Bombyx mori: one gene and its partner. The protein of the gene in region 1 interacts with the protein of each later gene in a pairwise test. Links are inferred from orthologs where the notes say so. Each region holds a gene or a part of one and is shown in the gene's direction. Other genes may lie near its edges.

Region 1 (3,935 bases):
CCGCCCTCCCCTGGGGATGGAAGGCGGGGCATGTTGGAGTCGAACTGACTAAAACCTCCTGTCGCTCAACAACCCGCGTCCGAACCTCGCATGAGACAGAACCCATGAAAAGGCAAAGGGGGGAAAGTGAAGCGTTTAGTGCGGAGCACATCTCTCCCATCACCCTCCCCCTCGGGACGCCGGACCAGCGGTCGTCGGCGCCACGACCACCAGCCCTCTCGGTCGGCAGGCTATCCGGAGCCCGTCTAGATGGCGCCGGTTTGAATGGGTTATCCTACGGAATACCCCGCTGGGTCAGAACCAGCGTGGGTCGAGGATAACCGGCCTTCCATCACCCGGATGCTTTTGCGTAAAACGCGTGCAGAGCAGCTTGCACGTCGTCTTCTTAGGCCCCCTTCGCCGGTCCCCAGACCGACATATGAAGGGGACCCGAAACATTTAGAGGGCCAGGGCTTGGGCGAGATCCGCCTCCCTGGCCCCCGCTCGACGGCGGCGGGCTTGCGCGTCTCTCACGCGCCCCGCCGCCTCCTTCTGCGAGATGGTGCACTCGCAGAAGTCGAGCATCGCCTTCCACGACTCGTCGTCGCCGAGCATCGATGCCAATACACTCGGCAACGACAAATTGTTTCCTATTTTTGCGACGACAGCACGGTGCACACCCCTCCCATGCGGGGCAGGCGACGAGGGCAGCACTAAAACCGCCTTGTTTAGCGGCCAGATGACGTCACAGTGGCACGCATTTTTTGTTGACGTTTCATTTCCATAGGTTTCATACTTCAGTGATCTAGGTGGAGCAGGGTCATGTCATTGTTTTTAAAATAGAGTCAGATCATTTTGTTAAGTGGCCTCTCTCGGTGACAATAATAATATGACAATGCAACTGGGGAAATTGATGCTATGTGTCATACTAAGCGTATGGCGTAATGTTAATATTAATGAGCAAATAGTTTGCGGTGAATTACGTCCCGATCTAGTAGATTCTGATTCTGGTCCAGCGGACTGTCTTAGAGTATTAGCAGTACCGTCTCAATGGCATAGCCTATCGCTGACTGCACTAGTCGAAGTTGAGTAATTATTGCGGATGAAGTCACCGTCGTATTTATAACACATAAACAAAAAGCAAACAAACTTAATCATCACATGAATGTTTGCCCGATGTGCGTGTCGGACTCATGACCTATTAAAGAAATTAGCTTCTCTATTAGCGAGTTAGTCAATTCAAAGTGATACAACGAAATTCATTTTTAGGTAACGTTTCAATGGTTAACGTCAAACTGTGTACTCGTATATGCTAAGGAATACATACGAATTATAACTTCTCTAGTTATCTGGTTTTAACTAAGCTATTAATTGGTAATTTTGGATCTATAGCTCTACACAGAAATTTAAAAAATGCGTTGCATAGAGTCTGTCGGTAAAAAATATTTTATTCCTAGCAACTCTAGATGAGAGTGTTTGCTCTACCTATTGCGAGACGTCCAATCTCTATCTAGTCGGTGCTCTATGGTAACTCTCTGGGCTGCGGACGTTCACGAAAATTTTCCGAACATGGCACGAAGCAGCAGGCAGCCACTTTGGTTCTTTCGTCATCGTGTGCTGATTACTACTGAAATTTAATTTATAAATTGCTGAGTGGGGTGATAATAATTATGTTGTTTTTATCAAAGTGAACAATAAAATTGGTGATGTTGGGCTTAGGTTTATTATCATTTCGTCAGAAAACTACCAAAGAACACAAGTTCGTCGTAGAAAATCATAAAAAATCGAGAAAGCTTCAAACGTGTTTGAAGCTTTCGTTTTTGCATTAATGGAACTATGAACCTGGACTCTTTAACGTTGAGCTTATCGCATATACATTATCTCGTCGTAAATTTAAACAAGAAAAATTTCAAGCAGACGAGTCAAGAATTGAATCAGGTAAGAAAACTACCATATTTTATCATTCTTTGTTTTCTGTTGTCGCCATATTGTGAATATTGGCAGCCACGAACTCTTCGCCTGTATGTGTGTGTAGCGTCGGGTTGTTCTATTTGGATATGTTATCGATCGTTATCGCTTTAATAAGTGCTCTGCGTTAGTTTCTTGTGGACACTTTTGATTTACATTGAAGCGTTTGCCTGGTGGCGCATCTCCGCGGAATGATGTCCGGAAATCTATAGTCATAGGTGGCACCCATTTCATTTCCTTCAGCATTTCATTTGTTAAACGTCAATAATCTGCTGTACATATTACGTTTATGATTCATTATTAATTTATCTTAAGAATATTTGAAAAAAAAGCTAACCAAATAAAGTTGAATGTTTATTCTTTTTTTAAAGTATGACAATTTTATTATTCATATAAGTAATAATATGTAATATAATAAATAAGTTAATTAATTATAACAAAGGTTAGAAAAAAGAAAAAAATTTGAAGGTCATTAATAATGTGTTGTGCTATCTGTGCTAATGATTCAATACAACTTCTTTAAAAAATCAGTTGCTAAATTTGTATTATCATACTACTTAGAATATAATAGTTATTAAAAATGACGCAAGATTATTTCAACATGAAAAACACGTTAGAAATTACCCCACATCTAGTCTTTATCAATGGTTGTTTCAACAAACTAGCCTAGCAATAAGTAAAATGATAATAATTAAACTAGTAGTAAATTGCGTGAAGCATGTTTTTGACATGTTGCTATTGCAACATTGCCTGAGTGATTTTCATTCCGTTTGGTTGCTCTGTTTTACTTCCGTGTGTAAAGATTCTAGGAAACATGTGTTGGACACTGTTCAGTAAAATAAAGTAGCAAAATACAGTTTTGACAGCAAAGGAAAATAACTGCTAGTATATAAATTGTATTGTGGGTAGACATGTGTTTTTTAACTGTCCTTAATACTGAACAAAGAAGACAGCAAACACTAAGGAAATCAATTTAATATTTACACCACTTTAAGTAAGCAATTACTATTTATTTTATTTCCCATTAAAAATACTGAGTGTTTGTTAGATTCTTGAAATCGTAATATTATTTATTATGTTGATTAGCAGATACCTACATACATATCTACTACTAAAATATGAACTCTGTCATAAGAAGACTTAGTATCTGCAGTAATAGATTTGCCTCTGATATTCTGTTAAATACCAACATTTATTTTGTAAAATATATGTTTGTACCTCATGTCTAATAACAAAATGGTAAACAAGTAAATTATTTAATAAAAAAAACAAAACCACTGCATTTAAAATATTAACTGAAATGCAAAAAAAAAAAACATGTAATGTTATTAATTAGGTTTTAGGTATTATGATATTACAGGTAAGGGACAAACCAGTTGTTCAATTGGTGGTGTTTGAATGGAAACAAATAAATTGTATTTCTTTGCCTGTCCTCAGGCAGGTATTTGAACTTTGAAAACTGCTATATAGAACAAGGACTCTCATAAATGTTATAAATGTGGATATATATGCTTATTCCTGTATGACCATGTCTTTATGTTGAACAAAAATTATCAAGATAGATAAGCTATTTAAATATTAAAGTGAACAATCAGGTCAGGTCAGGTAACTTATTTACTTTTATGAAAAATTTGTTACTTTAATTTGCTTGGTTACCTACTACATTTTACTGATTTTAATAACAATATAGTACTCAAATATGACAAATAATCCAGTACTAATAAAAAATAAATAAGTAGTACTCCATTATCACTACATAGTATAAAACAAAGTCGCTTTCTCTGTCCCTATATCCCTATGTACCTATGCTTAAATCTTTAAAACTACGCAACGAATTTTGATGCGGTTTTTCTTAGTAAATAGAGTGATTGAAGAGGGAGGTTTATATGTATAATAATATCCATTAAATAGTGGACAAATCAATAGTAAATTACAGTTTCTGAAGCGTAGCGAGGGCGGGTCGCTAGTATAGTATATGTAAAGCTGTC
Region 2 (3,835 bases), on another chromosome or scaffold:
GCTCAATATCCTACCTTCCTACAAGTTCGTACTAATATTATTAACGGGAAAGTTTGTAAGAATGTATCAATGAATTTTTGTTAGACTATCATGCAAAAACTAGTAAATGGATTTTGATGAACCTTTAGAATAATCTTATACCTTTAAACGAGCAATTCTTGTGATATATAATCTGAATCTCGGAAATGGCTCCAACGATTTTTATAAAATTTAGCATGCAGGGCAGGATTTCGACGTAAATGCGCCACCCACTTTGAGATATGAGTTTTAAGGTCTTAGTATAGTCACAACGGATGCCCCACCCTTCAAACCGAAACGCATTACTGCTTCACGGTAGAAATAGGCGGGGCGGTGGTACCTACACGCGCGGACTCACACGAGGTCGTACCACCAGTAATGGTGTCTTATTTTTATAATCAATAATAGAATACAGTTGCCTAAGCGAAGCAAGGGCGGGTCGCTAGTCTAGAATATAAGACTGCCCCCCGTGTCCTAGATGCTGCTGACACATGACTGGCATCTTCTATCATGAAATAATAATATGTAGTGGAAGTCTTTTTTGCATTTTTTTTTATTGCTTAGATGGGTGGACGAGCTCACCAGGTGGGGTGTTAAGTAGCCACTGGAGCCCATAGACATCTATAACGTAAATGCGCCACCCACCTTGAGATATAAGTTCTAAGGTCTCAAGTATAGTTACAACAACAGTTATCATTCGGACACGTTATCATAAATAATTATGAATTCTGCAAATTCTAAAACAATGCTCTTTCAATGTTACATACAGAAATAGTTGAAACCTTGCAAATTTTGTTATAGCAGTTAAAATAAAACAAAAAATATATGGCCTGTGACGTAACCACTATTGCAGTACTAGAGAGTCATAGAGATAGATAGATGGCTTAGTATATTTGTAATATTATAGCCAGGTCATTTCAAAAGTAATTTTGATAATTGCCTTCATAAAATGAATCTTTTTTTTTAAATATTTCCACTTATGGGTGCAATCAACCATTGCGAATATTTTTATTGGAGGAAACGGTGGTAAAATATAGCATATTGTCAAACATAACAGAAATTGTCCCTAAATAACATAAACGTTTTTTTTGTTTTTTTTTTTCAATCATTGGATAGGCATAGAGATCATAGACCATACAACCAACTGTACAAACATAGGCTGAGGCTATGTCAGATTATGGAAAAGAAATGGAATTGAATGAGGTGAGATAATACAACATGGTGGATGACGAAGGTGATAAAATGAAACAATTGTTCAAAACAATGGTGGGAATTTACTGAGAGTTCAATGGACTTTTTGAAAGAACCTGAGAATCCATTTCCAACGATTTGGACAGTTAAATTAAAAAAATAAGAATGCGAATGGCAGGCAGTGACTTGGCTCTGCCCCTGGCATTGCTGACATCCACGAGTGACGGTGACAACTTACCATCAGGTGGACCGGATGCTCGTCTGACTACAAAGACAATAAAAAGAGAATATATTGTATGTAAACATGTATATGCTTTTAATTTGTGTTAACTTTGAATTAGCAAAATGGATTAAACAATAGGTTAAAATCAATCTAGGCAAGTGACAAAAAATGTTTCAGTAAAATAATGTTTTTTTTTAAGGTTAACGACCTCAGTGGATTTGCCGGTGGAGTTCGTTCACCTCTACATAAGCAATTGTATTTCGACGTGTGAGACAATACGGGACAGATACATGCAAAACAGGCTCGTACGATTGGTGTGTGTCTTCCTGCAGTCGCTGATAAGGAACAAGATCATCAATGTGAAGGTATTTACTTGGTTATTTAATTTTTATGTTTTGTTGTAAGACTGAGATCTGATGTTAATAAAATTTTTACACTGTGGTGTTAGCCTAAAATAGTACCAGCCCATCTGTCCCTGCAAGGGGTAATTAAAAGGCGACTAAGAGATTTACTAATGGGTAGCATGTTCTCTATATATTGTAATAGCACATAATAAATGTAAGTGATGCAGAAGTATCTTTGTTAGATATTTTATGTTCAAGATCACAGAACTCCTTGTCTTGTCTTGATGAACTCGGGAGAAAGTAATAATCTGAGGTATAACTCTATAACATGCTTACACTCTAGTGTAATCACTTTAAAAAAAGGTGCAAAGAAAATTCATATTGTTATTGTATACCTCATAAAAAAGTATATTATTATACTAGTGTTAAGAATTCTTGTACGTGCTTGTATTTTAAGAGGCTAACCTAAATATTACTACCTAAATATTACTAATATTATTATTATATGATTTTTCAAATGTTTTCCAGGAGCTATTCATAGAAGTGGAAGCGTTCTGCGTTGAGTTCAGCCGGATCCGAGAGGCCGCTGCGCTGTTTCGGCTCCTGAAGCAGCTGGACTCCGGCGAGGCTGCCCACAAGGACCCCAAGGATAACTAGCGACGGCACAAGAGCAGGGTTTACTCGAACACGAATAGGTAGCGCCGGCCTCACGTCTGGGACCCCAGCCAATCGGAGAGCTAACAGCTGACCGCACCGCTGTGACATTGAAACTATAACAGTTCCACCGGTGATTACAATTGTGATGTGGCGTGTTAAACGTTCAATAGTTTTGTGGATTAATTGTGTAATAAGCAATTGGAAACTTGTACACTCTAAGACCTATTTTCTAAATTTGTGAAACTCGTGATATCTCGGGTATAAGACATTAGCCGGCAGCTGTGACAGCTAGTTTTGAACCTAACAACTATTATAGCATCAACGAAATAATGTCCACTCTCACACAAAAAGGTAATGCAGGCTCTATCAGGACCTACGTCTGTGAACATAACCGATACAATGTTTAGTGCGTATAAAGTTATGGTAAATATCGAGTGTCTGTGAAAATTGTGATAGTAATAATAATAAAGTATTGATTGAAATAATCAGATTAGAATACATACATTATCCAGATATGCCGGATAGAACATTTGGAGTGCAGTATTTGAGATATTTAATTTTATAAAGTATTGATTGTGTACTGATCTATGTAAATGGAAATAAATGGAATTGAATACATTTAAATTGATGTGAAATAAACATTGTTTTGCCTTCGTCAGTTAATACTGGGAATATTGTGTAGTTTTAGATTTTGTTACGTTATTTAGTGATGTGTTCATACTATCTTGTTAAGTGTCTCAGACAGCATCGGTTTTGTGTAACATTCTGTGTCTATTGTAAAAGGCGACTATGTGATTCACTAGAGAACGGGCAGTAGTTTGCAGAGTTAAGTCATGAATCATTTGAATGTATTACGTACTGAAGAGCGCATCGATCATTGTACAATTGACATACGGACCTCTTGTCTCAAGGTCGGTGGAGGCATTCAATTTAACGCCCATGTTACAAAAACTTATTCGCCGTTTCGCATTAAAAGTGTACAATATTCAAAAATATTCGAAATTTAGTTAATATGCGTAAACATTTGGTATCACCATTATTTTTCTCGTAAATACTGTCAAAAGAGCGTAGTTTAGTTAAATGTTTTTTTTTTAGTTTACCTATGTTTTGACTACTATTAACATAATTAATATGCACATAATTTTATCTTACTTTAAAATACAGATAATGTAACTGATAAAAAAAATTGTTGCAAATATGATTAATATTAAATATTAAATTAATAATAATATTATGAAAAATATTAAACCTTTAAAACACTCTCCTGTAAAATTAGTAAGTTTTGAGATATACAGTTTTAATGCGAGAAGACGATATTTGTATTATTTTGTTATATTCTCTGCTATACGCATTGACTCGCCGCACTGAATTACAGCAATGTTTACCTACGTTTGCCGCTAGT

What was found.
Region 2: the proteins of CCR4-NOT transcription complex subunit 1 (region 1) and CCR4-NOT transcription complex subunit 11 interact in binary tests that used the Homo sapiens proteins (3 or more experiments, as listed by UniProt). The link is inferred for Bombyx mori from reciprocal best matches to the Homo sapiens genes CNOT1 and CNOT11.

The regions. Positions count from the first base shown.
Region 1 is NC_085107.1:17,975,731-17,979,665, reverse strand, and holds the start of CCR4-NOT transcription complex subunit 1, read left to right. Parts: upstream 1-1,257; 5' UTR 1,258-1,815; coding exon 1,816-1,917; intron 1,918-2,024; exon of another isoform or gene 2,025-2,165; intron 2,166-2,830; exon of another isoform or gene 2,831-2,941; intron 2,942-3,935.
Region 2 is NC_085125.1:1,935,710-1,939,544, reverse strand, and holds part of CCR4-NOT transcription complex subunit 11, read left to right. Parts: intron 1-1,631; coding exon 1,632-1,797; intron 1,798-2,304; coding exon 2,305-2,433; 3' UTR 2,434-3,835. UniProt on the Homo sapiens protein: Component of the CCR4-NOT complex which is one of the major cellular mRNA deadenylases and is linked to various cellular processes including bulk mRNA degradation, miRNA-mediated repression, translational repression during translational initiation and general transcription regulation.